Linked DNA regions of Oreochromis niloticus. The protein of the gene in region 4 purifies or fractionates together with the protein of the main gene of each other region. This does not show direct contact. Links are inferred from orthologs where the notes say so. Each region holds a gene or a part of one and is shown on either strand. Other genes may lie near its edges. The genes, in order: cnot11, cnot9, cnot7 and rc3h1b.

What was found.
Region 1: the proteins of rc3h1b (region 4) and cnot11 purify together in Homo sapiens (affinity purification with mass spectrometry, with the first as the bait; 4 studies listed by BioGRID). This does not show direct contact. The link is inferred for Oreochromis niloticus from reciprocal best matches to the Homo sapiens genes RC3H1 and CNOT11.
Region 2: the proteins of rc3h1b (region 4) and cnot9 purify together in Homo sapiens (affinity purification with mass spectrometry, with the first as the bait; 4 studies listed by BioGRID). This does not show direct contact. The link is inferred for Oreochromis niloticus from reciprocal best matches to the Homo sapiens genes RC3H1 and CNOT9.
Region 3: the proteins of rc3h1b (region 4) and cnot7 purify together in Homo sapiens (affinity purification with mass spectrometry; 5 studies listed by BioGRID, with this or other methods). This does not show direct contact. The link is inferred for Oreochromis niloticus from reciprocal best matches to the Homo sapiens genes RC3H1 and CNOT7.

The regions. Positions count from the first base shown.
Region 1 is NC_031987.2:29,387,728-29,395,495, forward strand, and holds the start of cnot11 (CCR4-NOT transcription complex subunit 11), read left to right. Parts: upstream 1-4,757; 5' UTR 4,758-4,964; intron 4,965-4,970; exon of another isoform or gene 4,971-5,145; intron 5,146-5,240; exon of another isoform or gene 5,241-5,363; 5' UTR 5,364-5,385; coding exon 5,386-5,704; intron 5,705-5,919; coding exon 5,920-6,084; intron 6,085-6,262; coding exon 6,263-6,415; intron 6,416-7,114; coding exon 7,115-7,317; intron 7,318-7,768. Other genes in the region: abl interactor 2, read left to right, coding at 1-183, 410-574, 657-737, 893-1,075, 1,453-1,628. UniProt on the Homo sapiens protein: Component of the CCR4-NOT complex which is one of the major cellular mRNA deadenylases and is linked to various cellular processes including bulk mRNA degradation, miRNA-mediated repression, translational repression during translational initiation and general transcription regulation.
Region 2 is NC_031987.2:6,945,565-6,953,417, forward strand, and holds the start of cnot9 (CCR4-NOT transcription complex subunit 9), read left to right. Parts: upstream 1-4,837; 5' UTR 4,838-5,163; coding exon 5,164-5,181; intron 5,182-5,338; coding exon 5,339-5,524; intron 5,525-6,375; coding exon 6,376-6,491; intron 6,492-7,853. Other genes in the region: usp37 (ubiquitin carboxyl-terminal hydrolase 37), read right to left, coding at 1-46, 911-1,061, 3,555-3,728. UniProt on the Homo sapiens protein: Component of the CCR4-NOT complex which is one of the major cellular mRNA deadenylases and is linked to various cellular processes including bulk mRNA degradation, miRNA-mediated repression, translational repression during translational initiation and general transcription regulation.
Region 3 is NC_031966.2:31,931,434-31,939,446, forward strand, and holds the start of cnot7 (CCR4-NOT transcription complex subunit 7), read left to right. Parts: upstream 1-5,012; 5' UTR 5,013-5,181; intron 5,182-5,823; 5' UTR 5,824-5,830; coding exon 5,831-5,947; intron 5,948-6,029; coding exon 6,030-6,223; intron 6,224-8,013. Other genes in the region: mtmr7a (myotubularin-related protein 7a), read left to right, coding at 106-232, 1,279-1,614. UniProt on the Homo sapiens protein: Has 3'-5' poly(A) exoribonuclease activity for synthetic poly(A) RNA substrate. Its function seems to be partially redundant with that of CNOT8.
Region 4 is NC_031982.2:15,300,168-15,307,959, reverse strand, and holds the start of rc3h1b (roquin-1), read left to right. Parts: upstream 1-4,788; 5' UTR 4,789-4,935; intron 4,936-5,176; exon of another isoform or gene 5,177-6,121; intron 6,122-6,160; 5' UTR 6,161-6,343; coding exon 6,344-6,574; intron 6,575-7,792. Other genes in the region: uncharacterized protein si:ch211-13f8.1, read right to left, coding at 704-776, 2,051-3,260. UniProt on the Homo sapiens protein: Post-transcriptional repressor of mRNAs containing a conserved stem loop motif, called constitutive decay element (CDE), which is often located in the 3'-UTR, as in HMGXB3, ICOS, IER3, NFKBID, NFKBIZ, PPP1R10, TNF, TNFRSF4 and in many more mRNAs.

The DNA.
Region 1 (7,768 bases), on a different chromosome or scaffold from region 4:
GCTCACCTTCTCAACATGCCAGCTCACCTTCCCAAGCAAACTCGCAAGCGAATGCGCCAAATGCCGGCACCTCCCCACCCTCTAACTCTTCCCCAAGCACATCCGAAGTCCAGTCGGAGCTGCTTCCCCCTGCCCCTCCACCTCCACTTTCCTCCTCCTCCTCTTCTTCATCACCTACTGAAGGTGAGTTTTCAGGGACACCTCTGCTCTCCAAACATCACCAAGTCTTCCTTTGTCTCTCTGTTTCTGTGGATTTTATCTCCACTCCAGGGAGCTAATCTTTACCTCTTTCCTTCATGTTTAACACACAGAAAATTAAAATTGAATTGAATCATGAGTCACTGATTGATTGATACGCACTGTATTAAGAAAATATGAGTTCATAACGTTGCCCCTCTCTGCTGGTCAGGCCCTATCGTCCCTCAGTTCTACAGTATGAACCGGCCTCAGCCTCGACAGCAAACCCCACAGGTGGGGGGGTCACTGCCTTACCGCCGCCCCCCATCGGTGACCGGTCAGCCAATTACAACCCAGAATCAGGTCAATGGCGGTCCCTACTACAACCAGAGCCCAGGTATGCAGTATAAAAGCAGCCACCAGTCACTCCACTCCCACATTGAGAAAGTTTGGTAAAAATTTGTCTTTTGTGTTTGCAGCCTCTCCCACGCCCCCCTCCCTGCTCCAGTTCACCCCTCAGCTTCCTCTGATGGGGTTTGTAGCTCGAGTTCAGGAGTCCAGTGAGTATTAATCTGGATTCTTTTTCAGTAATTTATCAGAGAAATGTTTCTGCACATCATTTTTCTCGTGAACATCTGTGTGTCAAAACGGATGACATCATCAGCTTTTAAGCCCAGATTCAGTTCTGGTTATGTAAAGTATCCCCCACCTCCAGTTTCAGACGCCCCCCCTCCCCCGCAGCCTGCCACTGAGAACCAAGTAGCGCACGAGGAGCCCCTGCCCACTCCTCAGCCAGCTGAGGATGGGCATGAAGAGGAGGACTCAGCAGTAGTGGAGTATAACGACCCGTATGCTGAAGAAGACCCACCGTGGGCCCCCAGGAACTACTTAGAGAAAGGTACGCCACAGAAATACACAGAGGCAACAAAATACTTACAGTTAGCATTGTTTATGAGGTTGTCTTAGATCACTCCACCAGTGTTCTTTGAATTAGCTGCTCATATATGTAGCCTCAAACTGCGTCTCCGGGTAGAATAACACAACTTGGATTTAAGGTAATACCTAAGTCAGGTATTAATGTCTTTTATACTCATTAATTGCTTTGGATATTAGTTGTTGCATTAGTCACAGGGGTGAGCAGCTAATTATTTTTTTTGTTTTTGTTTTCATTTGTGCATAAAAACTGAAATGCATGTAATTACATTTACTGCACCGCTTCGGGTGAAATGACTGAACCTTCTGTGATCATATTTCGGTGTGTTTGTCGCCCTCCAGTGGTGGCCATCTACGACTACACGGCCGACAAGGAGGACGAGCTGTCATTCCAAGAAGGAGCGATCATATACGTCATCAAGAAGAACGAGGACGGGTGGTTTGAAGGAGTGATGAACTCGACCACCGGTCTCTTCCCTGGAAACTACGTAGAGTCCATCATGCACTACGCTGACTGAGCCAAACGTGTCTGTAATCACAGCTGCAGTCAAGAACTAGAAGGGAAAATGTGACCCTGTTCCACGTTGCCATTTGTCTCCTTAAATTCACACTAATTGATCACAAGAAAGTCAGAGCTTGTGAAAACAAAACGACCACTTAATCAATAACAGGCTTTACCTGAGTGCTTTAGGACTAAGAGTTGTTTCAGGTGTGAGATATTCATTTAAAAACACCTGAGACCTTTCAACCTGCAAGTAAAATGTCAGTAAAGTTCTTTGGGTATCTTCTTGTCAACCCAGTGTAATTCAAAGAAATTATGAAATGCGGTGCTTTCCAGCCACACAACAGCTTTGTTTCTTTTAAGAACGACTACACACATTTTAGAAAAGAATGTTTAAGTGGGACTTGATGGTACAGGTGTTGCCATACATTCAGGGTATGACAACACTTTAGTTTTTTCGGGTCTCGGTCATACAAATGTGTGTATGCTGCAGAAGTGATAATTGTCCTAATAATCTAAGTCCTACTTATCAAAATAAATGACTGCACCCAGAAGATCAAGACATGAGTAGGACACATTTGATTTTATTTTTTTTAATCACAAGAAATTGATTTTAAGATGTTGACATAAGAAATTTGTTCTCTTGCAGCACATGTTGCATGCATCATACAGATGTGAAACCATTTAGTATGTAAGTGTGGTTAAATGTTCATAAATGTTTTTAGAAATCATAGACATGATCACAACAGAGTGATTATTATAATAAGTAACAGAAAATCTAGCTGAAATCTAGACATAAGCCAGTGATGTTGATTCAAATGGACACTGTAGTGTGGAACTGGTAAAAGCTAATCCTGCGTCACTTTTAATGGTGCCAATCTGCCAAAAAAAAAAAAAAAAAAAACAATCCTAAGAGCCTTATCTGCCAATGAGGTGAAAGAAGGTGTTCTCTGAGTGCGGAGTCTGGGAGATAAACTTGACATGAAGGAAACAATAAAAGAAAACACTACAAGTCAGAAAGGTTTTTATGTTAAACAAAGCGAACAGCACAAAGATCTTCAGTAACACTAAACTCAGTGAAGTTGTGTGAGTGACCTTTTTGCAAGTTGATTGGATGCCATCCTGCTCTCTTCATGGACAGTATTCAGTGAAAACTGAGCTTCTGTCCTCATAGAAAGTTCCTTTAACATCACACATCCTGCTGTGATGTGACGTCTAAGTGGAACTGTCTGTTTTCCAGTAGCTGAAGTTTTCTTGTTAGTTCTGTGTTGAATGACGCTGCAAAGGCAGAACCGGCTTTTCAGCTTCATAAATGTATGTGTGTAACTAAACTAACATTTTATCTAATCCACAAGAGATCTGATCAATCACCGAGGTCAGACCAGACAGCAGAACTAAGCTCTCCTGTGTCCGACCTCATCGTGGTTTTGTTGTCGTGTAGTAAAGTGGACCTGATCTAATCGCCAGGAGGAGATTCTGGAGCTGTTATCAGTTTTTGTTTTGTTTTTTTAAGTTTACAGTGTGTTTGACTGCATGCCTGATATATAACGGACATTTTTATTCTCCATATTCTGTTTTCTTTCTTTTCCTGTAGTTTCACCAGCTTGCTTTATGATGTCTGTTTGACCGGCTGGAGGTTGTGATGTTTCTGTGCAGTTTTTGCTTGTAATAGCCCTTTAACTGAAGTCCTGTGTGCTTGGACGTAAGACCGACTCTCAGAAAAAGGTGGATATTTTTGTGCCATATGTGTGTGTGAAGAGTTGTGTGCACGTGTGTGTGAGAACCAGTAAGAACCAAATGTTCCCTTGTTGACTGAAGTGACTTTGGACCTGAAAACAGTGTGTCCTTAATGTACAGTGTAACTTAAGAGGTGTTTTACCACAGAAACCAGAGTATGCCAAATTAAATAACAAATAAGATGAGAAACAGTTTTTCCCCTAATAGATGTTTGAGTTGAAGGAAGAAAACTTTTTTTCTTGATGCTCGTAAGGTAAAGATTCTCTCTTGTGTGGCTGCAAATAATTATTTTAATACCTACATACCAAGCTGACATTTTCAGATATTATTGTATTTATTTATATATCCATGTATTTTCAAGTTTAAGCACAAAGTGCTGTCCAGATTAAAATGGATACAACTCATCAGAAACTTGCACACTTCCCTGTAGGAGCACACAAAGAACAGAAGGTGTAGTGTGAAGCAGCACACAACCCTCTTTGAAAAGGTTAAAAAAAAAACAAAAAAACCTGGTGTAAGTTCATATGTGAACACAGCGATCACCAGCCTTCAGACAGAATGTCTTTAATGTAGACAGCAAATCGTTTGAGCTGCTCCAAACTTTGGCTCACTCTGGTTTTTGTTTAGCCTGCAATATCCCTTTAAAGTGTGGATTAAAAAATGAGATGAACTGTGAAATGTTATGGACAGCTTCTCCAAGGCCTTTAAAAAAAGAAAGAAAGAAAGAAAGAAAAGAAAATCAGGAATCTGTTTGATTGCCCTCAGTGCAGACATTAACCTCTAAACAGGACAATTCTGGGTTGAGATTCACAAAATATTTTAAGTTAAATCCCCCCCCCCCCTCCTATGTTAGTAATAATTTCATTAAACGTGACCACGAGAGAAAGTAAGACACCCTACAATCAGCTGGCAAAAAAAAAAGTCTGGACGCGCCCCTGCTGAATTGCACTCATCACGTTTGAGTTTCTTATAGGAGCTTTGGTTTCTCTTTAGATCATCGCTTTCATTTTATTTCTTCCATCTCATTCTTCAGGATCTACCTGAAAGAACAGGCCGCAGGAGAAGCTTTCTCCTTTCCAAAGTGAACATGACTGAAAGCACAATGTTCTTTAAGTGAAAATGCAAAATAAATGTCTTAACAATAAGCATGTGCTACTGCCGTGTATTTATCGGACTGGACGGTAGAAACTGCGTACAGAAGAGTTAAGAAATAATAATTAAATACGTATGGTCACAAGAACTGAGAATATTTTTTTAAAAAAAAATATTCACAAACCTGCTTAAAGGTTTTTAAAAAACTGAATGAAAGAACACTTTTAAGTGAGTGTATCGACAATGATCACTTTATTTCGACAGGACAACGCCGGAAATGATAACGTAACGCTAGGACTGATGGGTAAAGGAAGAAGCTCTTTAGTTAGTCAAACCACTATTTTATGATCAGCTGTAGCTTTAAAAGTGACTCTTATTGGATGACGCTTCACGCTTTTCGAGTCTAAAATTTCTGCTTTCCTATAGATGACTTAAATGATTATATAAAGTGTTTTAGCGAGTTTATTTTAAGGGGGAAGTGAAACGCCACTGTACGAAACTACATCACCCATGATGCAGCTCGGTATGACCGACGTACTGTCGTGAATTTAAACTGCTAATACATCGGTCACCGATTCTCAACAGTCGTGAAAACACCTGGACAAACTTGGATGTTTCTATCGGTTAATGTTTTGTTAGTTTTTGTAAGACTGTTATGCAGTTTCAGCACCGGGCAGAGTGGAGTTTGTGGGGCGGAATATTTGGTATGACTATGAAAATGCCGCTTTATGTCAGTTAGCGCCGCAATGCTAGTTAAGCTAACTTTTTGCTAACTCGTTTGATTATTTTCATTCTGTAGCTTTTCAGATTTCCTCTTCAAATATGAATTAAACACACCCGGTTCGTTGCGGAGATGCTGTATTTGCTATATTAGCTATTTAAAGAAAAACAATACAGTCTTATAACGGTTCCGCCCAAGCAGAAAAGATTCAGCTGAGGAAACCATGACACTCGCTCCGAAGGAACTGTCCAACCTGCTGAGCATCATCTCGGAAGAGGCTTGCACCAACTCCTTCGAAAGCCTCTCCACTCACTTTCATCATTACTTCGGGAAAGCGGAGCACTTCAGGGTGGGCTCGGTGTTGGTCATGCTTTTGCAGCAACCGGACCTACTGCCCAGTTCCCCGCAGCGGCTCATCGCCCTCTACCTGCTGTGGGAGATGTACCGCACCGAGCCACTGGCCGCTAACCCTTTCGCCGCTGTTTTCGCGCACCTGCTGAACCCCGCACCTGCCGGAGAGGAGCAGGAGAAGGTGCTGTCCGGTAGGTCTCCGTGTGAAAACGCTTTTTCCTGACTTTGGTTATGTCACCGAGAAAGAAATCAGCCAACTGTTTCTCATTTCACAAAAACTTGTTCAGTTCAATTAAACATTTGCGCTCAGTTCTTGTTGGAAAACACCCAGTAACACTGGCAGTCTTGGTGTGACTGTGTAACATGATGAATGAGGGCTATGAAGTCTCATCTGTTTGGTGTCCAGGCTTCCTGCCTCCCATTACCCAACCTGAGAAGTTCTTCCTGTCCCAACTGATGTTGGCACCTCCCAGGGATCTCTTCAAAAAGACACCCAGACAGGTGTCCTGCATGGATGTTGGCAACATGCCCCAGTCTGTAGACATCAGCGGGTTGCAGCTAGCGTTGGCAGGTCAGTACCCACTCACCCATAAATGATCTACTGATTGAAAGACTAGGTGTGACTGGTCAAAACTGTCACTTGTTTATACTGGTTTGTTTTAAAAGACAATTTTTTTTCTTCTTTAGTTTGCAGTGCACTTTGTTTCTCTTATGTTTTAATTCACTGTTTCTGTCTCTTTGTTGTTTAGAGCGTCAGTCAGAGTTGCCCACTCAGAGTAAGGCCAGTTTCCCAAGCATTCTCAACGATCCAGACCCAGACTCGTCCAACTCAGGATTCGACAGCTCTGTGGCCAACCAGATCATAGAGTCTCTGGTCACAGGCCCGCGCCCTCCCCTGGAAAGTAAGTGTTATTGGTGATTTGTTTGTTCGTTTTTCAAAAAAGGCTTTTGTTATGCAGAAAACAAAGAACGTTAAAAGGGATTTTAGGATTGACCACGGTTGTTGTTGGTGGAGGTGGAGGTGGGGGGAGGGGGGATCAATTTAGGAGGTCACCTCGGTAGGTCATCGTGTTCCATCTTTTTCAGAATGATTTGACATGACACAAAGACCCTGAGTCAGTGATTTCACTGTGTATGTGTGCGTGTGCGCAATTTGCAAAATGAAAAGAGTATGTCTTATCATCATGTTTCTCATCACTAAAAAAACGTTGGGCTGGTTATTCACTTCTAGCTTACAAGACAGGAGCTGTGTGAATAAGGAGATCACAGATGAAAAGCACGTAAACGTTTTGCTTTGCTGGCAGTTTTGTGGGTTTTCAGCTGTCAAGTGCACATCTGACTTATGTTCATCCATAAGTCAGATGAAGCAGCATGGTCACACAAGAACCTGAAAGTCTCACTAGTGTGTGCATCAGAGCTTCAGCTCTTTGTCGTGGTGTCCCAATATTACAATTCATCGCTCTCTGAACATGAGAACACCTTTTAAAGCTGGCACACATGTAGCCATGGTTACTAGAGTAGACCGCCACCCATGAATAAAGCTAAGTCTGAAACAGACCAGGATTATCACAAGTGTTTCAATATCGTTGTTTAATCCTCAGGTCACTTCCGCCCTGAGTTCATCCGGCCGCCGCCTCCTCTCCACGTGTGTGAGGACGAGCTGGCGTGGCTGAACCCTACCGAGCCAGATCACAGCATCCAGTGGGATCGCTCCATGTGTGTGAAGAACAGCACCGGCGTGGAGATCAAACGCATCATGTCCAAGGCCTTCAAGAGCCCGCTGTCTGCACAGCAGCAATCACAGGTGGGTCAGCCACAGAATGCTTCTCTTAAAGTCAGGCACTGAAATTCTATTTAAACTGAAACTATGGTGCTGCCACCAGCTGCCTTTGGAGTGCAACTAGATAAACCCAGAGAGGAATTTCAGGGTTAACGTTGCTACTTCACAAAAAGGAGAAAAGCACAAGACAAATATATTAAGACAAGACATTGAAAAATGGTTTGAAAAGAGTCAGAATGTGAAATCAACAGGAATAAAATGGAATGAGATGGATTAATCAGAGGATAAGCCTGATAGTTTACAGCTGATTGATAGTGGGAGTTTATTTCTGTTTCTCCAGACACTGGAGGACAGTATGCATCTTTATACAAGATGATAATTTTTTATATTTAGCCACATCAAAAATTGACATCTTTTGTCCGACCATCACTCCCAGACCCAGAGAGATTCATTATACAGTCTGTTGTTACTGAGG
Region 2 (7,853 bases), on a different chromosome or scaffold from region 4:
TTAACGAGCACACTGAAGTTGGCACTTCCAAGGGATGATTTTAAAACTGCAGCATAAACAAAAAGTTCAGGGGGAAAAAAAGCATAAAAATGATTCCGTTACATTGTAGAGTCAGAATCGCTTCAAGTTAATCCATGTGCTTGAACTGAAAAGAAAAAAAAAGAAAAAGAAAAAAAATAACACTGCTGCATTGCCCTGATGTTAAGTTTGAAGCACATTAAGCCCTAAAGGCAAAATAAAGCATTCAGATCATAGATTTAAAAGCAGACTAACACACACCATACTTCACAACAACCTGTTGCATAAGTCTTCATGACAGCTACAGATGTTTTGTTTATTTAATAGGATAAAAATGAATCCTGTTCTTCAAGCAAACTGATGACATGCAGAGGTGCAAGGCAGCCCAGGTGGAGAAATTTTGTTTTTATACTTCGCAACTAATTTTATTTCTCTATCTGATAAGAAACCTATTCAATCAGATAGTTATTTGTGGTGAATGAAATACAATTACACTTTGAAGCACAACATCTGAAATTCAAGCACTTTTCAAACCTTGAAAAGACAAAATTCAAGCATTTGTAAGGATAAGGATTTCAAGCACCTGTACGAACCCTGTTACTGGCATTGGGTATCAATTAAATGTAAAACAAATAGATTAAATCACTAGTACGTCTGTTATCAACTAGTGACAATAGCAACAATTAGTCGACTGGTCAGCTAGACGCGCACATCACTACTTGAAACTCTGCATCAACTTGAGAAATATTAATATATTAACATGAAGATGCAGAGAAAAAGTGACCATTCTCTGCAGGAAGAGCATACAAGGATTAATTCCTAAAAAATTTAAAAAAATCTTTGCAATTTTTTTTGTTTGTTTTGTTTTTTTAATGTGCAGGGGTGTCATTACCTGGCTTTCCTTGCTTCAGCTTTTCAAGGTATTCTTTAGTCTTCTGAACCAAAGGTTGAGGCATCCTGTCCAGCGTAATGACACTGTTATCCTTCAGAGTCAGGACGATGCGGTTGACATTCTGGCTAATATTTTTCACGTTCTGGTTCAGCTGAGGGCAAAGAACAGCAAATACTCAGATTCATGATGATTACTATTACATACAATAGTAATTAATACATTATCATTATTATTATTATCATCATCATCATCATCGTCATCCTCCTCCTATCATACTTGTTGATAAAGTATACCTTTGAACAAACTGGCTCACAGTTCTATTAAAGTTCTATATGACAAACCTTACTCAATCAGCTATTACTTTCTTCGATAGGTCTTATATCAGGGGTCCCCAATCTCAGTCCACGAGGGCCGGTGTCCCTGCAGGTTTTAGATGTGTCCTTGATCCAACACAGCTGATTTAAATGGATAAATTACCTCCTCAACATGTCTTGAAGTTCTCCAGAGGCCTGGTAATGAACTAATCATGTGATTCAGGTGTGTTGACCCAGGGTGAGATCTAAAACCTGCAGGGACACCGGCCCTCGTGGACTGAGATTGGGGACCCCTGTCTTATATCATGCTATCTGAGGAGTGAGGTTCTTAGTGACTAGAGACTCAGAACACGTGAGTGTGATGACAAAGTTTGTTTTTGTTTACTTCTCTTGCTCCAGACTCTTATATGTCTGTGTGGAAATTATAACAGTCCTAAGGGTTAGATTTGTTGCCTTTCCTAGCAATGGAGCAAGACAGATTCATTACAATGTTAGAGCCTCCAAGTTTTCCAGACTTCCCTACAAACTTCAGTTATATTGTGTCGGTAGGAGGGGATCGAGAGAAGGCACACACACTTCCTTAAAGAAAGTAATAACAAACTTTGTGTGAATGGGTTAGTTTGAGTTTCTGATCTCTTAGACAAACTCCAGCCTCACTGTCTTAACTCTTTCCCCATCAAAACAACATTTGACAACCTCCCCTGCATCCATAAAGATGAGTTTTGACACCTTAGTATATGAATAAAGATGTGGTTTGCATAGGCAGAGACCACCCTCAATAACTTCCGATTTAAACCCAGGCATTTTGTTCCAAAGGCAGGCCTAAAATATAACAGAAATCGCTAATCTAATAAAAAGAGCATCAAAGGTTACTCCTAGTAGGGGGGAGTTAAACAGCAGCAGATGCTGTGGTCCTTGTCCTGCATGGCCTACTAGGCATGAACCAGTTTATCTCCTGATGCAGGTCTGGGTCAGAGTGACCCACCAGGTCACAGCAGATCAGCAGAGCAGAATAAGGACTAAGATAGGAGTAGTTAAGTTGAACTGCAAAAACAAGAAGTTCACCAGTAGGGAAAAAGAGGACAGGAAGCTAGCCGTTTTAGCCGTTTGAAACTGAACTTTCAAAATAAGAGGACGGGTAATATTGACTATTAAAGTTATCAAGCTGTTTTTTCTGACAGAGGAGAAACTTCAAAGAAAGCAGAAAATATATAGTTGTTACTGTACATCAGTATGAGTGGGGAAAACTGCATGTGAAGTACATTTAAGACTTTCTAAAACCTGAAAACACACATAATTGCAGCACAAACTAGAGTTAATTTTAACTTGTACAACTAATTCAAGATTGACTGGGTGTCTATTATATTCTATTCTATTTGACTGCCATTTACGAATTACGTGCTTAATTATTCTTTTCAGACCCAATCACATCAGTCAGTCTGAAATATTTTAGTTCTGGAATATGGGATCATATAAAAGAAGTACAGGCATGGATTAAAAACACTTGACCTGAGGGCTGAACAAACCCTGGCATGTGCCATGGGTGAGATTATGTTTCTAATCCGGTTCATTCATGGCTTCAGTGCAGAGCTACTGCTCATTCATTGCATAATGCCTCAAAGCCGACAGCTTAGATTCTTCTAGTACTGACATGAATCAGACATGTAAGACTGATTTATAGGGTGCCATTTAACAAGTTTGTTCCTGTAATGCTTTAACAAGAAATACCATATTTTATTTTCCTCATTTAGCCATCCATTAGTAGGAGTCTTTTCAACCAAGAAAGCAACTCAAATATGTGTGTGTGTGTGTGTGTGTGTGTGTGTGTGTGTGTGTGTGTGTGTGTGTGGAGTTTCTTGCAGGATTAAGAGGGTTCAGTGTCTTTTCCTCTGTTTTTAATCAGCTGTTTAATTTGCACGTCTGGTGCATTCTTACATTTTTTTATAACGTTCCTCTCGTCCAACACATTCACTCATACACACCAAAATAAGGCGGTGACATGACTCACCCCAAGGAATCTTATTTTGACATGTGAATTGACCCAACAATCCCAAGAAAAACAGGCAACCCACAGTACCTTCTGAGCCAGCTGACCCAGATAAAACAATACTCGATCTGGATGCAGTGGAAAAGATTGCTAGATTATAATAAAAAAAGACCATCAAAATCGAAATCAGTACCTCTTAGGACATTAACAAAAAAATAACAATAATAAAGACCAATGTGAAAGTAAGACATTATATTTGGGGTCTTCTAAACAAGCCATCAACTAGTGTTGATTTAATTAAGGCAGAAATAAATATGAGGGGAGAAAAGTAGCAGTAAAATACCTGGAAAGTTTTGGAAGCTCCTCCACAGTTGAATCTCAGGCAGAGGTTAACTTTATTGTCCTTTTCCAATATCTCAAACGTTCCTTCTTTCCACCTGGTGGTGCCCAGGTCCAGACTGGTGAAACGGATCTTCACAGCCCCACCGCTGGAGACTTTGGGCACTACAGTTGCCATGGCTTGCTATCCCGTTGGTGCACTTGGGAGACTGGGACTCAAACTAATCCTAAAAAAGACAAATTGGATCCGCTGTCACACAATCTGAGCACATTATATTTATAACAACTGAATGTGTCCAGCAGGAGCAGTTTAAACGAATGGTCAGGTATGAGTTCTGAAGTTGATTACTCTAGTTAAATACTGCAGGAAAGTAATGAGCTTAACGAACAGAAGCAGCCACTAAAATGAACATAGCACCTCTTCTTGTAATAACACTAACATCACCTGTAACCGTCTCGGTGAAAGCAACTTCAAAGTTTCCGATGCTAAGCTCAGATAACGAGAGCAGGCAACCCACGTTGTCAAAGTCACAAGAAAGTACAAACCATCCAAAAACAAGCTGACAGGAGTCAGCGCAGCATCTCGCAGCAGAAAAGCGGACAGCACGCTCGCCATGCATTTCTGACAAATAAAACAGCTTTTTTGGCTGCGTGTGGCAGCTCGCGCCTTGTGATTTTCTTTGCTAGCAGCTTCAATAAAAGCCCATGTTTGCATCTGCCATCAAACTAGCCAAACTAACGGCCACTCTGAGTCGCGGCACCCAACGATTGGTACGTGCACAACAACACGGGATGCTCCCTCTCAGCTCAAGGCATCGATGCTCCCACAGAATTACCTGTTCAAACCGGTAACGCCAAGAAAAGGTGATAGCCAAAAGTTAAAAAGCCCCTTTGGATGCGGATAATGTCGTATGCTCGTCCGCAGCCCCTGAATGGGATGGAGGAGGCCGACGTTAGCACCTCGGCTAAAAGGCTAACGGACGCTAGCTAACTGGCTAATTTGCTAGTCTGTAATTTGGTGATGAAAAGCGTATCGCGTTGCGATTACACCGAGCGGGTACTTACCTATCGATGACGAGAGCTTGTCTTCAAACTTCTAAAAATCCGGTGCCGCTTCTGTAGCTGCTGAGCAGGCAGAAAGTTTGTTTTGCCGGCATTCACCTGCTCTCCGGTGCTGTTGACAGCAGAGCAGCACACGACGCGTCGCTGAGCTGCGCGATGATGGCGGGAATGTGAAAATTTACAACGGAAGTAATGACCGAGGATCTTCATCTCGCGATATTTCACTTATTTGTATTAAGGCTGTCTACGGGTCTGCCAAGCTAAGCCTCGCTTTAGTTTTAGTGTGAATTACGTTTAGTTTTGAGCTAATTAGTGTGGTTTAAAGCGCACAAATTAGACTGATAGTATTCATTTTCCCTTTATTTCGGCAAATTTGAAGTTATGTTAATGTACACGGGTACTTGTCTTCATAGGCCAGGACATTTAGCAGTCAGCTCGGGCTAGCTTCGTGCTAGTTACGCCAACTTACTTGCATTGCAACCACGTTCACCACACTTAATCAAATTTAGTTGTTTATAACGACATAAAGACGCCACAGAGAGCCTCGGAGAATGCTTGCAACGGGAGCGGTGAGTGTAATTTCACCTTACTTTGCTTTGAAGTCTCGAACCGTCTTAACATGGAGCTTCCTCATCCTTTTGTTTGATTTACATAAAACATTGACCACCCATTCTCAAACACAGACCCAAGACGACATGCTTTTTAAACTCACTTTGCCTTTTACAGGCTGTATCTAATGTCACAGCCCTGGCTCAGGTAGACCGGGAAAAGATCTATCAGTGGATCAATGAGTTGTCCAGCCCAGAGACCAGAGAGAATGCCCTGCTGGAGCTCAGCAAGAAACGCGAATCTGTGCCAGACTTGGCACCGATGCTTTGGCATTCCTGTGGCACTATCGCTGCTCTCCTGCAGGTAAGATCTGTTGCCTCTCTCTACCTGTTGGAAATCAGGATCTCTCTTTTTTTCTTTTTTTTTGTTAGGGTGTTACTAGGAATTTATGCTTCAAATCAAACCTGAATCTTTAACCCTATGGCATAACTGGACATGCACCCTTCTAGAAATTTAACACACACAGCATCCACAGCACGTACTGTGATTGGCCTATCCAGTACTATAGATTCCCCCTGTTAATTTCACCTTAGTTTTTGAATTTCTCAGTGACAGAATAACGATCATCTCCTCAATATAAGGGATCTCCTCAATATAAGGATTCACAAATGTCAACAGATTACTGGAGAAAGATATATAGGTAATAAAGTACCAGCATTTTATTTGTTCCTGTCGGCTGGCTCCACATATAAAACACCAGAAGACACACTAATTAACACATAATGCACAAAAACATAAATGATGTTGACAACATGGCTACTTACATAAGCTACGCCATAGGCTTTACAAAGATTCAGCACAACCATTAGTGTCAGGGACTACAAGTCATGCCATGTTTGCACAGCAGCTAGGCCTTACAGACCACTCACATGAAGTGAGCTACTAAACCCTTCTTCATTACTCTGAATTATTTTGCTATATTTATTTTTATGTACATAATATGTTACATTGGTACTTGTTGCTTGTTGTTAAGAGCTCTTAGTATATTTTAAAACTTGACCTGAATTTATAAGACACTTCCAGGGCACTAGGTCTTGAAATGGTTGTAAGCGTTTTTTATCTCTACCTACCATTAGAGTTTATACCACTTGTTGAGTTCTGTTTGCCCAGTGTCGTTTGCTGTGCACCATTGATGCATTCCTTTCTCGTTGTAGGAAATAGTGAACATCTATCCATCCATTAACCCACCGACACTCACAGCACATCAGTCTAACCGAGTGTGCAATGCCTTGGCACTCCTGCAGTGTGTTGCCTCACACCCAGAGACACGGTAAGGGGACAATTAGAAGCTTTAATTGTGTCACACTAAAGAAAAACCTTTACTGCAGAGCAGAGTAATACTAAAGAAAGCCTTTAATACAGAGCAGTTTGAGTTTTATCCACTTTATTTACCTTCATTTGTTCTGTTTCAATCAGGAATTTCAGAAAACTAAACTCGAACCATGCTTCTTTTTTTATGTTTTACCTCACCTTTTCTTTTCACTGATACAAACAAGGCTTTTAAGCCTTAAATGAAAGTAGGGCTGCCACAAACGATTATTTTGATAGTCGACTAGTCACCGATTATTTTTGCGATTAGTCGACTAATCAGATCATGCATCGATTGGACGTAAAACTTACAGCTTGAAAATATGTTAAACGTTTATTTTGTGACCCAGAAAGAATAATAAGAGTAATATTAAAACTAACTAGCTGCCGCCATTGTTGACAACTGCGCTGGGCCGCACTATAAATTCTGGGACACAGCTTCTTCTTCTTCGGGGTTTAACGGCAGCTGGCATCCTTTACATGCACTGCTGCCATCTTCTGTTTCAGTCCGTTATTACACTTTTAAATCCTACTACTTATTCCTGCGTCTTTTGTGATCTTACAAAGCTTCAAACGACGCGTCGACTATTAAATCAGTCGTCGACGATTTTGATAGTCGACGTAATCGTGACTAGTCGACTAATCGTGGCAGCTCTAAATGAAAGTACCTAATTTTCCACACTATAAGGCACACTTAAAATCCTTTAATTTTCTCAAAAATCAACAGTGCACCTTATAATCCGGTGCACCTAATGTATGGATTCTGGTTGTGCTTACTGACCTCGGACCGATTTTATGTTGTACACGGTAGAGATGGCACGATACCACTTTTTTATGTCCGATACGATACCGATATCATAAATTTGGATATCTGCCGATACCGATATGAATCCGATATAGTGTGTTTTTTAATCAATAAAACTGTTTTTTAATATATTGCTGCATTTTGTATAAGTTCATACTCAAGTTTAAATAAACAACAACACTAAAGCTATTCTGTTATACCTGTATGTAAAAAAATACACTGCGCCCAAAATATTTCATAGTTCAGCAATACTGATCAATCTAATAAACTTAATCCTCCCTATTCTGGTATTTTAAAGAGTACTTAGCAGAAATATTAAGCAACCTAACTAATAGGGTTGCAAACTCCCAGGAAAAAAAAAAAAAGGGAACCACCCTCCACCTCATGATGCTTAATTGATGTAATCAACTTTAATTTGATGCAGGGTGAAAAAAATGCACAGAAATCAATTATTTTTCAAGAATAATTAAATAGATTCAACATCTTTCTTCAACAGAATTGCAGACTGCACAGATGGTA
Region 3 (8,013 bases), on a different chromosome or scaffold from region 4:
GAACCCTGGTATATACACTGTAATCAGGAAGATAATCATTATGTGAAAGGTAAAGACATTCATTGAAATTTTATTCTGCTGATGCATTTCTCTTTCTTTGTGGAGATTTTGGAAAGGGCTGTACAACCGTTTTGACCATGGGATGCATCCACGGCAATCCGTAGAGGATTATCTACGGGCCATCCAGGAGGAGACACAGCAGCTGGAGGAGCAGCTCACTTCACACACACAGGTAGGACAGGGCTATGCTGATCAGCCACAAGCTTAAAACCATTTAAAAAAGGTCATAGGTGTAACAGAAATTGCTGAAAACCTGGTGGCTATAATAAAACAATGTTTTGGAGCTTGCTATGTAGCAGCAGAGTAGTCAGAATTCCCATGTTGATTCCTGTGGTCCTACAAACTGTGGTATGCATGTGCAAAGTAATGAAAGAAGGAGGACTTGTCTGATCACATTTTTTCTTTTACACTGACATATGTTGTGTTTACCTGAAGATACTGTCAGGGTGACCTGTGGGAGGAAGTCAAACTAGCTGAGGTGGTGTGATGCTCAAAGGTCACTGGTTACTTTGGCAACCAGTGACCTAAACTTTGCTGCAGGTCACATTCACCCCAACACGGCAGTTATATTCCCTCTTCCAGCAGGATAATGCAGCCCAGCAAATTCCCCAGACCTTCCCAAATTCTCCAGTATGTGCAGCATGCTGAAAAAAAACGTAACTCCTTGCGAGTAAATTTAACAACCTGCGCACAAAAAGGCCATCATGTGTGCAACAGTGTCTATTTTGCAAGCACTGCAGCAGATTTGCCACGAACCGACAACTGTGTTAAATTGAGTTACAGCAAAATTAGCGCTGTTTTAAAAGTTTTTTGTTTAAAATTTGGAAAATGAAGTTTGCCGAATTAACTATCAAAGGATATCATTTGCTGTGTGGCAGTGGATATACTAAAAACTGGCACTGGATTAGCTGAAGAAATCTTTCAAATCGGATATTCTAGGGCAAGTTTTGGAGCCTTTTGATAACTTCTGACATAAATATTATTCCATGCTAATGTGATGCCACAGGACACTTTTATTAAAGGGTTCTGGAGCCTATCTCTGGATGGGTCGCAGATGTTTTGACAGCTGCATTCATATTAGGGAGGTGAATTTAATATTATAGCTGATCACTGTGAATTCATACTACAAGTCAAAGGGGAAAAAAAAGAAAATTCCACTTGGATGTTTTTGTGATTATAGGAAATGACTGTTGTCTTCATTTCTTACACTATCAATAGAAGATTTCTCAGCTGGAGCAGGAGCAGGAGTGCAGTGATTCCTGCAAAGCAACCACCTTTGATAAGAGCCCCACGGTGTGGGCTCCTGGTAACAACCTCAGTCTAGCCAACACTCCTCAGGACTACACCGGCGGCTTCATCACCGGCAGCCCCTGCCAGCCTAAAGGACCAGACAGCATCCTCCTGCCAAAGAGCACAAACCAAATATCTGACGCCAGCTTCTCCAACGGCAGCGACCAGGAGTCTGGGATCGCGGACCTGAGCTGCCGTTCACCTCTCAGCGAGGACAGCACCAGGGATCCGGACTCCGATGAGGCAGCCTACTCGGCTGCCTGAGGATTGGGTGGGAGGCGCAACGCCGGCCAGACGTCACCTGAGCAACACTGAACAAACACTACCATTACGTTGATCGTGTGACCCGACTATTGGCCAATTTCAGTGCGGGTCTTATTTGGGTTGCACGGTTTGCTTGCACTTTTGTTTGCATGCATGGTGGACTTTCCATGTTCCTGCATTCCTTCGTGTTCATAGTTGTTTCCTGTAGCTGACTGTATTTAACCTTGTCTCAGTTAAAGAGTCCAAAGAAAGCTTACATTTTTGGACATTTTAATCCATATTCACCAGAAAATAGGAGCAAGACTGACTCTCTGCAGTTTACTGTAATTCTAATGATAAGCCATTTAAGTGCTTCTATTTGCTTTTGCTTCTGCTCTTCCGTGCGGGTATTCAGTAGATATTTTGCTTTACAATGTAAACACCTTAACAGTGTAAAATGACATGATGTGTGCTCTGAACAAAGGCCAGTAATACATGGTATTAGTTAACATTTAATGCTGAAAGAGTAGCAGTGATTCAGATATGCCCAAATGTAGCAGCACTTCAACCCCAAAGGACTATATTTATGACTGAAGTGAACTCACTCTGCAGCCCACAGTGACCTCAGCTGGGGCTGGGAGTCATTACACTGTAATAACCAGCGGTCAGTGGTTTGTTTTCAGCACCTTGTGGTCCACTCCTCCATGTTTCAGCATATTATAGGATTTCACGGGGTTTTACCGCCAAGGGATGTAAAAGGAAGCTTTTGAAAAGACAAAGTGATTTAATAAACGTCTGTGCAGCGTGTTTCGACATCAGTGCACGACTGAACTACCGGAGCAAGTGAACACACAAACAGGGTGCTGCTTAGGGCAGCAGATGACCAACAGAGACTCCTTGAGTGTTTGTGTTATCTCAGCTGTCCAACTGGCAGTAAAGCTGCTTGCTATAGTAGTGTAGTACCCATTATTGTTTTGGTGAACTCCTGCTAAAGAACAGTGCAAAGATTACCGAGCAAAGCATGTGAAAATATTTTTGTACTATAACCTATTTTTGTCTCCTCTGACCTCGCTTTAAATGCTTGTTTTGTTGTTGTTTTTTCAGTGTCTAAAATGTCTGAGTCATACCAAATTCTGTCCTTGTATTAAAAAAAAATACCAGAAAAAAGCCTCAAAGCTTTGTGACGCTGCCCTCATTTGTTCAGTTGGATCAAGATAGGTTTGCAAAAGTGCTCGAAAGGCAAACTTATGTAAATTTAAGTCAGTTTTCTGCCATATACTTACATTGTTCTTGTTTTATTTAAGTGGGAATAGAGTCAGATTACAGTATCTCATTCATGAATGGAGTACAGTATAAGTAAATACAGCCACTGCACAAAAAGAGAGCCTTTGTGTATTCAGGTCACCCGTTCTCCTGATCTAATTTTGCTTCTCTAGTCAGATACTCGAGCAGGCTGCCTCATAAATGCACAGTCTGACATTATTTACACAAAGCAGCAAGGCTCAAATCCTTAATCTGAAAACAACAATATATTTGATGTTTGGACTTAATCACCATAAAACAGATTTGCATTACATCATCAGTCAGGTTAAGTTAATGGCAGTAAAGACTGCCCCTCATTTTAGGGATGAATGATGAAGGCTTCAGTCTCCTTGTTGTTGCCGAACATCTGCACAGCTGTGCTGGTGGGGAGCCAGACCCTGAAGCGCTGCCACCGCCAGCAGTCCTGCTCCATGGCTCATTCAGCTGTTTTTATTTATTATGGGTGTGAGTTTTTGGTTTGTCACTGTAGTCTTTCCAAAATGTACAGATTAAACCAAACCTCTACTAAAAACTGAACAGACAGTTGGCTAAGTGCTGAAAACAGAAGGTAAAGACTGCGGTTGACTGTTGTTGAGAGGATCCTGCTGCTGCAAGAACTCAAACTACAAACTGAACAAGGACAAAAAGCACATTTTAAAAGACTGGGACAAATGGTTATCATATAAGGTGAAGGAAGGACATAAGTAACTTTAATTTCTAAAAGAGGCAGATTTGGTCCACACTGCAGGCTTGCGACTGTTCATGTGTTTATATATAACTATTTTTTAGCTTTTAGCTGGCTTCCAGTTTTGTTTTGGCGTTTTCCTAAGTATCATTTTTTAATCCTCTTTATGTTTAAACAAAGCAAAACAAAAGAAAGTTTTAAAAATTATAATAGGAATAGTAACGAATATGGAAAGGGAATAGTAGAGGTGGGCAGATCAATCCAAATATTGATAGCATCTATATCAGTGCTGGTGTTGGTATCAGATGATACTAGCATGATAGGATCGAGGCTTTGTTTCTATCCTCTAAGTTCAGTATGTAGCCCACTGAATTGCATATATATTGGTTTTTAAAATACATATATATATATATATATATATATATATATATATCAAACATGCACTATGAAAGATGTCTGAATGTTTTTGTGTTGACTGTCATGTCAGTTTTATTTATTGCCCATATCACATTTAAACAACAGAAGCTGACCTACAGTGCTTCAGAGACAGGCACATTTACCTTCCAGGTCTCCAATAAAACCCAGTTTCAAATACATGAAAAGCTCAATGATGTTTTTTTGTTTTGTAAACTAATTATTGTGACGACTTAGTGACCATTAAAATGTGTTCAAAATTTGCAAATTGATGCTAATCAATTTTATAAATCATGACACACTGCTCTATCGTCCATAAGCTGCTGGTATAAATTAAAATTATCGCTAATGGTATCAGTAATACAGAGACTGTTTGGGATCCATATCAAAACTTGGAGTATCTCACAAGACTAGAACTTAGTTGGTCACGTTTTTTTGTTTGTTTTTTTATTTTTAAATGCAAAAAGTTGAAAACATTCACAGCTCCCTCAACTGTGTGTGTATATATATATATATATAGAGAGAGAGAGAGAGAGATAATGAAGAAGACATCAGAATCCTACGTGTAGCACACAAGCACTACCGCACCCACAAACAAAACAATAAGTTAAGTTAACAGGAAGGTTAAAGTATTCTTAAATGTATGTGATTGGATCAGGAGAATAAAATGCTGCAATATATTTGTCACAATCATAACCAAATTAGTTTTGATCGTGATTCTTTAAGTTTCTGGGTTGGTCTTATTTTGTTGTTCATACTTTGCTGACAAATGTAAATAATAATAATAACAACAACATTATTATTATTGTTGTGGTTATAATTATCATTATTGTTGTCGTTGTTGTGTTTTTATTTACTGAAATGAATTTTATTCATGTATTTATTTTCATTATACTGGAGCACTAGTGCATATCTAATATAGTAAAAGAAATTTGAGTACAGTTTTCAAGGGCTCTGTGCTTAAGCTATACTTACACACGTATATACGCGTATGACGTTGCTGTGTTACGTGATGACGTCCAGTTGTAGGCTCAGCTATGATGGCAGCCGTAGGTTGACATCAATAGATACTGAATATAAAGTATTTAAAAGTTAGCGGAAACTCCCCCGACACAATAACGTGGAACAAACTAACAGTTTTCTGATAGTACACGCTTAAAACACACACCCGCCCGGTTTGGGGAACGGTAAGTTAACGAAGCTACGTTCACCTTTGCTGTATCAAAGTGGCGCCGAGTGTATGTGTGTGTGTGTGTGTGCGCGCTTGCACCAGTCTCTTTCATGTTCTGCACACAGTCTCAGTTATCTGTGAGCTAGCTGTCCACCTACAGGAGCTGCTTTGTCGCATTACAGAGCTCCTATTCCTCCTGCCCGTGTTAACTAATGCTAGCTCTGCAGCCTGCTAACTGTTGCAGGTAACCTAGCTAGCCGAAGTGCTGCCGAAAACCCGAGCTAATGCGAAGAGCAGTCGGCTAAGCTCGTCCTGCTCATCATGAGGAGATAGCTGCTCCTCCCACTGGTTCCCTTTATGTAACAACAGTTAGCATACATTATACTAGAATAGAAACACTACTTGCGAGTAAAGTTAGCTTACCTAGTGTACCACAAGCAGGCTAAAGTTATTTCCTGTGCCCAATATAGAAGCCTCATTTGTTTTCAGGCAAGTGCTGTGTCAGGAGTCCTTCTGTGCCTTTGGTTTAGGTGTTAAAGTGCACTTGTTCAGCCCCCTTTAATAAAATATGCTGACCTGTGACAGTACACTTATGCACCACGTTGCAGATGTTGTGTTTATATTCCAATACAATTCTTTGTCTCCTTGCATGGTGAAGTGGCACTATGCCCGCAGCTACTGTGGATCACAGCCAAAGAATATGTGAGGTTTGGGCCAACAACCTGGAGGAGGAGCTGAAGAGGATACGACATGTCATTCGAAAGTACAACTACATTGCTATGGTGAGTGGTGCTTGTAGAGCTGCAGTCGCCGAGCCTCCCATGCCCACATTCCCGTTGTTCATCGTGACTCGTCTGCTTGCAGGACACGGAGTTTCCAGGTGTTGTAGCCAGACCGATCGGAGAGTTCAGAAGCAACGCTGACTATCAGTACCAATTGCTGCGCTGCAACGTGGATTTGCTCAAGATAATACAGCTGGGCCTCACATTTATGAACGAGCAGGGGGACTACCCACCCGGGACGTCAACGTGGCAGTTCAATTTTAAGTTTAACCTCACGTAAGATTGCAATCCAGTCTGTCTGTCTGTTGTATTCCTGCTGGAGCCCCATAGATGGATTGATCAGCTGATAACAGACCATCAGTGCGTGCAAATAGTAAAACCTTTATTGCCTTTTTTTTTTTAAACTACATGTTATACATACAAAGGTGCTCCATTGTTTACAGTATTCCCAGCTCGTTCTTAAGCATATTAAAAAGACAGCGCTCACGGCTGCTGGAAAGATGGTGCAGAGATGCTGTCTTGCTTGTGAAATACTGTAACTGCGCACAGTACTGGGTTCTGACTCCCTAAAAACCAGCAATACAAAGCCCCCCAAAATCCTTCTAATAATCAGACTTTATTTTTCTCATTGAATTCAGATGCATCAAGATTTGCAGTTAACTCTGCAGTGTGGACATGCTGTCGCTGTCTGCCCCTTCTGGCAGTAAGCAAACCGTGCCATGCCCTTAGTTACTACTGTAGTGTGGCACTGTATCCTTCTGTCACTACAAAATGCTGAGAGATTTATCTGATGGGCTTGATCCGCTTTGTGTGAATGCATTTGACAAAGGGCTTGGATGTAAAATAAGTTTGTTTCTTTCTGTGTAAAAGTCTTCACTCCAGCTTCAACGGGACATGAATCCTTTCTACACGCAGGATGTAAATATTTGGACAGCTTTTGGTCTACGCACTGTTTCTTAATGCACACTGAGTTTGAAATAAAACAACTAATACTACACTACACTGCCAAGTCTCAGCTTTAATTTTGAGTATTGCATTAAAACTACAGAGAGAAGTGTGTGAGACAGGGACCCAGAGTTTTGGTGCTCAAAAGTTATTCAGGTACACACAAAATCATCATGTTTGCAGTTTTGTAAGCGGCTGCTTTAAGTTTTTGACTTAAAGACAGTGGCAGATGCTTTGTAACCTCCCTGCTGATGATCTCCCAGTCCTCAACTGCTCACACTTTCAGCTCTTTGCTGCTAGTGACAGCTACCGCCACCTTTTGGAGTGGTGCTCAATCAGAGGGCTGACTCGGCCAGTCGAGAATTTCCCATCTTTTCACTCTTGTCAGCTTTTTGGTTTTACATAGAGGATTGTTGTCCTGCTGAATAATGAAACGTCCAACAGGTTTTGATGCAATTGGCTGAATGTAAGCACAACTCTGCATTCAACTTACGGCTTCTGCCAGCAGTGAAATCATCAATAAACACCAGTGAGCCAGGGCGTTTGGCAGGGTTACGTGCACGAATCCTAACAGAAGCCCTTCGATGTTAGATGATGTGGTGTTTTATGTCACAAGCTTTTCCCTTCCTAGAGACGTTTAATCATTTTAATAGAGGTAAATTTTGGTTTGATCCAACAGAACGTGGTTCCAAAACACTACTTTATTTCTTTTTGTACATTTTTTGCAAACTGCAGCCTGTCGGTGGTGAGACCTCTGAAGTCATGGACAGGGAGTCGTTTCTTGAAGGAAAAACATCTACGCTGCATCCTGAAGTGCATTCATAGTTTGTTGCCACCATCTATATTTTTTTTCTGCGGATCCACAAAAGACCCAACCAGCTGATTTTGGAAATCAACTTTTTCTTTTTCTTTTAGTTTTTATTTGAATGGAAGATATTCTTCTAGTACATTTCTGTTTTGTTTTGTGGCTTTCTTTTACACAGGTACAGTGTGTTAAAGGGTTATAGCTCCCTTACATTTTTGTAATATTCATCTAAACCTACTCAAATGAATCCTGAGACTTGGCACTTTAATTTATTACACAATTTTTTTTTGTCCCCCAGAAAAAAGCTGTCCAAATT
Region 4 (7,792 bases):
CTAGTGGTCAGCAGCAAAGGGGAATGTCATCCATCCATTTATCCATTCATCCATCCATCTTTATGCCCAGCAGCTAAGCCGCTCTGCATTGTGCTTCATCGTCTGTACTTCTCTTTATCCCCTGGCCCAGTGATAAAGATAGCATGATACACCAGCCACGTGGATTATCTTTGTAATGGACTAAGTGTGATTCATTCTCTCCTGTATGACAAGATGAGAACATATTGTCTTTCACTAGATTACAGTTTGTTGTGTCACCGCAGTATTCAAACACCAGAAAAAGGAAATCAACAAAGTTGAAGCCTGTCTTTAAATATCATATGCAGCTCTTTATTCTACAGTTTATAACCATGTTCAAAATAACAACCTTTATTAAAAGGATGGCTTTAAATAATAGTGCAACTGGTGAAAAAAGATAACAGTGTGTCAGGTCAACAAGTGACGAGCGAGTATCAGATATAACACATAATTGATACTCGCTCAGTATCCCCAGTGCACTGCTTTTGATAATACTCGACATCATCTCTTCCCTGTGATTAAACCCGATTATCAAAATGTTTGTTTGGATTGTGCACCAGGCATAGTTGCCTCATTGGGTAGATTTTCTCAAGTGCAGCTGTAAAAGTGAAATTTATGAGGAGAGGATATAAATAGTCCACAGAGATTATCTGTCACTATCCTTGCCAGGAACTGCATTGCTCACCTTAAATAGGGTTCAAGTTCCTGGGCCAGAATGGCTGAGTCTGAGGTGTCCAAAACAGGATGGGCACCTGCAACTGACATTAAAAAAGGAAAAAGATATGAGCATATATAAGAGCGCAGTCAAAATTTCTTCCAGATAAAAGGATTTCTTGTCTTTGTTTCTTCCTTCACCCAGACATAATGTGCTACAGCACATTAAATTATTGTTTAATGTTCCATTTTTTAGGACTTGCCTTGCGGCAAACACAACTGCAGAGAGAGCAGTCAGCCATGACGTGACCTACAAGGACATTTGGGTATCAAAGAAATTGGGACTTGCTATGATCAAAGGGATTTTCATAAACCTTATAACATTACGTTCAGATTAGACTCAGTGGCAGTCTCGGAGGTCATCCCTAACTCATCTTTAATCTCGGACAAAAAAAAAAACCCAAAACAAAACAAGACACACACACGCACACGCACACACACCCATACACAGATTATGTAACTGCTGAAGGATAAAAGCAGATTTCCCAGAGACAAGAGGGCAAAATCATCTCATCATCACGGACTTGCACCTGCATCTCTCGTACTGGGCATTGAAACTGAGATCTGTGCAATACTACATGATCATTGCATGGGAAAATATATCATCTGTCATCCTACACACATACAAAGACATCCATTAGCGCGCCGGCAGAGATAAAAAAGACAGGGACACTTCCCCCACTGCTCTATTAATAGTAACACCCGCATGCACATCTGCACATCTGACATCTGTTCAGCACTGGGAACCAGCCAGGTTACATTCTGCGTTTCAATACAACATTGTAGGTAGGCAGACTACGGCTGAATGGGGCACTTTAAATGGCTGCAACAGATGGAAATCATTCTAAGCAGACAATGTGCATAAATTATTGACAATTTTCCAGCTTTAGAAGGTTGTTAGGGAAAAAAAATCAAATGCAAAATTTTACATTTTCTGTCCTCATCCAAAATGCTAACACGCCACAGGAGCTGATCCAGCTCATAACATTCGACTACACTTCATGAGGAAGCTAAAGTAATACAGAAAAAAATTATGACTAAGTCACAACCTGTTATTGAAACTATATCAAGTATTGTTGTCATAAATATGGCAGCATGTGTTTTTTTTTCTTTTTTTAAATAAAGGCACGCTACTAAAAATGCTATTATTGTATAGCATAATAATACTGCAAAAGTAAAGTTATGTATTTCATGCCATGGCCAGGAGTTTCAAAACACTTTACAGCTTATTTATCAGTAAAGTATTACTAAAGCCCTTCTCAGATGGCTCCATGCATTACTTTTTAGCTTTCTCTATTATTTTCCTTAATAGACCTACCATTATAATCCACTCTGTACGTTGTTTCTTCATAATAGCCAGTGATTTCTCCTTCGTGCAGTTCTCTCACTTCCCTGTAGTGTTGTTGTCTTTCCCTTAACTTTGCATAGGCCCTCTCCTTCACCCTCAGTTTATCATCAGCGCAAAGGACTCCACTTTGTGAAGACATGCTCTCCGAGCTGTCTGAACTGCACAGTCCTTTATTGGGATCAGTCACATCTGTCTCCCTCTGCTCATACTTGTCCAGGTACCACTCCACACTATCAGACTTTTGGATTTCAGAAGACACATCATAGTCATTCGCCAGACCTCCCACATCATTCTTGTTGCCTGCTTCAGCCAGTTTAGGCTTCCTCTGAGGCTCTGCTAGTGCCTCTGTCCGAGTGTAGTCCTTTAGTGGTAATGTGGGGGGTGTATTGTGAGGGTCAACCCCATTGAGAAGCAACGTTTCTGGACGTGCTACTCTCCAGAAGCCCTTTGGAGGGGCCCAGTGTCTTGCTGAAGGAGAAGAAGTGGAGGAAGTAAAGGACGATGTTGTAGAAGCAGAGATGTTGGAGGAGAGCACAGGTGGTGGTGGAAGAGGAGGAGGGGAAGGGGATGGGCCATCCTTGCTAGTGCTTGAGTTGTCAGACAGAAGACTCTCCAGACTGGTGCCCTCTCCAAGCCCACAAGGCTGACCTGTTGGATGACTGACCTGTCCATCATTGTTTTCTGACTGCTCCTCTTCCACTTCCTCCCCCTGCTGTACAACTTGTGCTTCAGCGGGAGGACTGTGGATCTCCAGACTGACTTGTACCTCTACCTCCTCCTCTTCATCACTGCTGCTTAAGTCCTTTGCACCACCTGATCGCCAGGAGGGAGCAGGCAGAAACAGCTGGCCTTTCACTTTGGGTCTCTGTCTAAGGAGGACTTCAGATGAAATGTGCCCCGCTGGGTTGCTCACCAGCACCTCCGTGTCAAATCTTTCTCTGTCTTTCTCCCTGTCTCTTCCCCTTGTTCTTCTCTGCGTGATCGACTTCACCTTGGTCTGCAGGGCGTGCACAGCTGAACTTTGAGCAGGGGGAGGAAGAGAAGTATTCAAAGTAGTGGTGGGTGGGAAAACAGGCTCAGGAACAGGCCCAGTAATGAGTCCCCAGTTTATGGGAAGCCCGGTGGGCAAAGGGGAGCCGGATTTTGATTGGATATTATCAGCGGCTTTCTCTTCCTCCATTGGCTAGTCATGCACAAGAAAGTCCAAAGAGATTCTGAAAATAAAGAACAAGAAAGATAAAAACATTTCCTATTCAGTGTATTCTACATCTCTGTTACCAGATACTTTTTTCCTGTGTGCCGGGTAAGGAGATATGTAATGTGGACTCTGTCACGTTGCCTTATCCAGTGATTACTTTGCAGGGCACAGGATAATCCTTTGGAATCAGAATAAGCAACTGCTGCCTGCAACTGAGACCCTACAGGGAATAAGCAGTATTATATGTTTATGTTTGGTTGTATATATCAGAAATAATAAACCATTTTTTTTCCTGTTTGCCATTCATTTATAGAAAAACTGGGGGGGATCAGTTAAAGTATTTAAAATTCATTATTTACCCATAAGAAATACGCACAGTGGCAGTTTTGTACAGGCTACTGTTGGTAATTATGCAAACCGCCTCCATAAAACCAATTTTAACACATCATTATCATTAACAAAGTAGCTTCTCATCACATTAAGAGACAGGTTGGTTTCGCTATTAGAAGGCTAACAAACATTTTTTAATGTACCTGCACTTTTACTGAAGACGGCGTACTTTGACATGCAATCCCAGCGTCGATGGTCACGAGAAAGTTGCCATAAATTCTGGGGCAACCGCACAAATTAAAGTTGCCCTCCATAATAAAAAGCTGCGCCAAGCGTGCAGTTTTTGCAGCGCGCATCCTCGCGTCACCAACTGGCAAGACGAGCGACGTCCCCGTGGATGAAATAATAATGATAATAACAAGATTTCCAAATGTTTCTCCAGATTCTGAGGTTCTGTTTTCACTCTCCCTCTCTCTCTGTCGCTCTACGTAGCTCCGAGCGGTGTCAGGCGAGTCAGCGGTCTCTCAATCATGCCTGGTCTGATAATCCCCTCAGAAATCAGTGGGATTAAACAAAAATGGAATAAAAAAAATGCCTGCTTTAATTTCGCTCTTGCCTCACGAACCCGACGTCGAGTGGAGCTCTGTGTTGCGCAAGTGCACACACACCGATTCCCTCCCCGCTGTAAAAATAATAATAACCCAATGAAAAAGAGAAAACAATTCTAGTAAAATGGCTTGGGGACCTCTCGCCCAAATGAGATATCCCAGATACTTTTCAGTCTTTATTTCGGTGACTCTGATTGCAAGGAAGTGGGGTATGCTGCGTTTTAGGGAGCACGGGTCTAATTTTGTCTTGCAAAAACAAATGTCAGCTGATTCTTATTTGTCAATACAGCTCCCTCCCTCTGTTTTAATCTGTCTGAGCTCTCCTCTTCCCTTCTTTTGTCTATGTTTCGAAAACAGATACACAAACATATTTAATATATATGCACTCGTGCAAACTCAGCAGTTTAACTGTGAAAAATGTTCCCAGATGTGATCTTCTCAGCACCTGCCCAGTTTCGGTATTTTGTGTGTGCGGCTCAATATCAACAGAGGGCGCCATTTGCCCACAATCCAAACGCGCACACGCAAAAAAGAAAAAAAAACGCGCGTGCACGCACACATCTTTTCCAGCTAGCTGTAACCGGCTAGCGAGTCTGTCGTCGAGTTGACACCCTCTCCCAAACCTTGGCAGCAGCTAAGCTGCACAGTCGACATGGCAAGAAAATATCGCAGCAATTTCCTAAAAAAAAGATGAAAAACTTCCAAGTCTTTTGGAATAAGTGAGTAGCATCGACAATAACGATTTATCTGCTCGGTGAAAAAACCCAAAGTAGTAGTTGCATGTTTAGTTTTAGGCACATTAGTGACGCATAGAGATTGTTAGCGAGCTAGCTAAGAAGCTAAGCGCTAAGAGAGTGGAGAGAGTAACATTTGTTCATTAGCATGTTAGCCCTCTGTGCTCATTCCGACGACAAGAGCGGTTGAGTTATGTGCCCCTCAAAACAAGACTAAAGCACAAACCTGGTCAGTTCTTAAGAACTTTCTGGTATCGAGTTGTTGTCACTGTGTCTGGTGAATATAAAGACATTTTGGGACAGTTTCGTTGCTTTGAAGTTACGGGTGCTAGCGTTACATAATCTGACTTGTTGTGTCTCTTAGATCTCGTTTCCTTGAACAGCGCCTCCTCGAAGGATAATTAATATCATTAAAACTGTAACGTATGAGCAACTGTGACTATATTCAGAGCAATAACTGTGTGACAGTCGGTCAGCGAAAGGTTTCAGGTCGTTAAGCAACTGTTTGCTGATCAAACGACGTTTGCCCGTAGCTAAGCTAGGAAACTAGCCACCCATAGCTTCCGATGCTAAAAGTAAGCTAACGTTACCTAGAGTTAGCTAGCTATAAAAGCGTCTCGTATCACTCGTAAGATTAGTGGGTGCATAACGAAACACCGAGATGGTCACAGCAAGGATAAAAAATACTGGGCAACAGCGCATTGTTGGTACAATATTATCAAGCACTATCACCAGACGCTAGCTTTATATCAAGTTAGAGGGACTTGGTGGTTAGCCTATCCTATACCCTTTGTCCATAGTCATAGTGATAACCAGCTCTTTTTTTTTCTCTTTTTTTTTAACTAGGCCACGCCGCAGTTGTTTTGGTCCATCTCAACCATTTGTTTGATTCCGACTTTACAAATATGTGTTGTGTCGCGTCTGATTTGCCGTTACATTGTTTTGTTGGGCTTGAACAACGTAATTGACAGGAAGAGGCATATTTTCAGTGCGGTTAGTTGTTCCACGGGAAACCTGCTTTATAACCACACGGCATAGAATGCATTTCTCAGCTGCAAATGCACTCATGCACAGTGTAGCCATGTTTTATAGTGTACTTCTACAATGTTTTGATGTAAAACTAATAACAGTATGACACGTTTTATTAAAAAAAACGACAGTTTGTGAATGCGGCAACAACTATAATTCCGTTTCTCTTTCTGCTTTACAGTATTCATCACGAGATGTGATCCACAATCCACAATGTGTGAGGACATTTAAGAACGATTGAGTTCGGAAGAAAAAAAATTGATTCCAGTGGAATCTTTCATTATATATATAAAATTATTATATATTTTCCTCTGTGATTAAGCTCACATACATTTATACACACCCATCCCATCAACATATAACCATGCCAGTGCAAGCACCACAATGGACAGAGTTCCTGCTGTGCCCGATCTGCACACAGACATTTGAGGAAACTGTTCGCAGGCCCATCAGCTTAGGCTGTGGACATACAGTCTGCAAGATGTGCCTGAACAAGTTGCACCGAAAGGCCTGTCCCTTTGACCAGACAGCCATCAGCACAGACATCGAGCAGTTACCTGTCAACACGGCTCTGTTGCAGTTGGTGGGAGGCCAGGTAAGACCTTTGTTTGTGTGTGTTTGTCATAAATTGCTAAACAAATGTACAGAGATCTGACTTTATACCGCCTGTGCTGAGATTTTGTTGACGCTATCTTGTGGTTAAGAATACTAGCTCATGGGTGTGGTTTTTTTGTTTTTGTTTTTTTTTTATAGTAGTGAAACATTTTAAGACACCAATCCTGGTTTTAAAGGATGACGTTTTCTGTAATTACTATGGATTGTATTTGTGTCACACATGGGTTACTACATGGTGTACATACTTTTGGGATTTCTTTCTGAGTCACCCTGCAGTCATTGAGCAATGACTTGAATTATGCTGCTTTACTGAGTGCTAGCGCATTCACTAAAGCCGTATTTCTCAGAGGGAGTGTTATACCAACAGGGTGAGGCACAGCTAATGGTGTCTGGCTTTGTTGGCCAAGTTTCTAAGTTAAGACTGCAATAATGGATAACGTCACTGCATCACTTGTAATGCTGAAATGTGTCTTCTCTAGTCATCATGACTGGTATGGCTTGTCTCTTAAACAGATCTTAGTCTTATTGCACATTTATGCTAATATAGTTTAACTAGGTAGGACTTCCTTAAACATTCCCTGTTTGATGTTGAAGTCGGTTATTCATATATATATGTATATATATATATATATATATATATATATATATATATATATATATATATATATTAGTAATGTAAAATTTGCTTCTATGGTGGAAAAATATGACTATCCCTACCACACGCGGTGTGCCCCACACACATGTATTTGGACAGACTGAGTGATAATAATGGTGGCAAACATTATCAAGTAGCACTCAGCTTTGTTATGACCTTTCTCGGAATTGGCCTTAATGTGCTGACGTTAGCCTTTGTGAGCTTTGCTTGTGGAAGATTGCAGCAAGAGATTTTGCTAACATTAATGAGAGCATCTCAGCATATTAATATTTCAATACATGCTGTTAGAATATAGTTAAGTGAAACTCCTTGCACAAATGAAAATGCCTGGTTTTGAGGGTCTTTGACAATCTTCAGCTGATTACTTAAAAGACAATTGTGACTAAAATATAAAAAACATTCTAATACCAGCGATTAGTGAGAATCCACATAATTTGAAATTAAATGTAATATATTTTAAGTAGTGATTATTTTAATTGTTGTGCAAAATGAGTTGTAACGTGTTAAATTGGCCCTCAGTCCAAATTGTTTCTTACCGTAAGA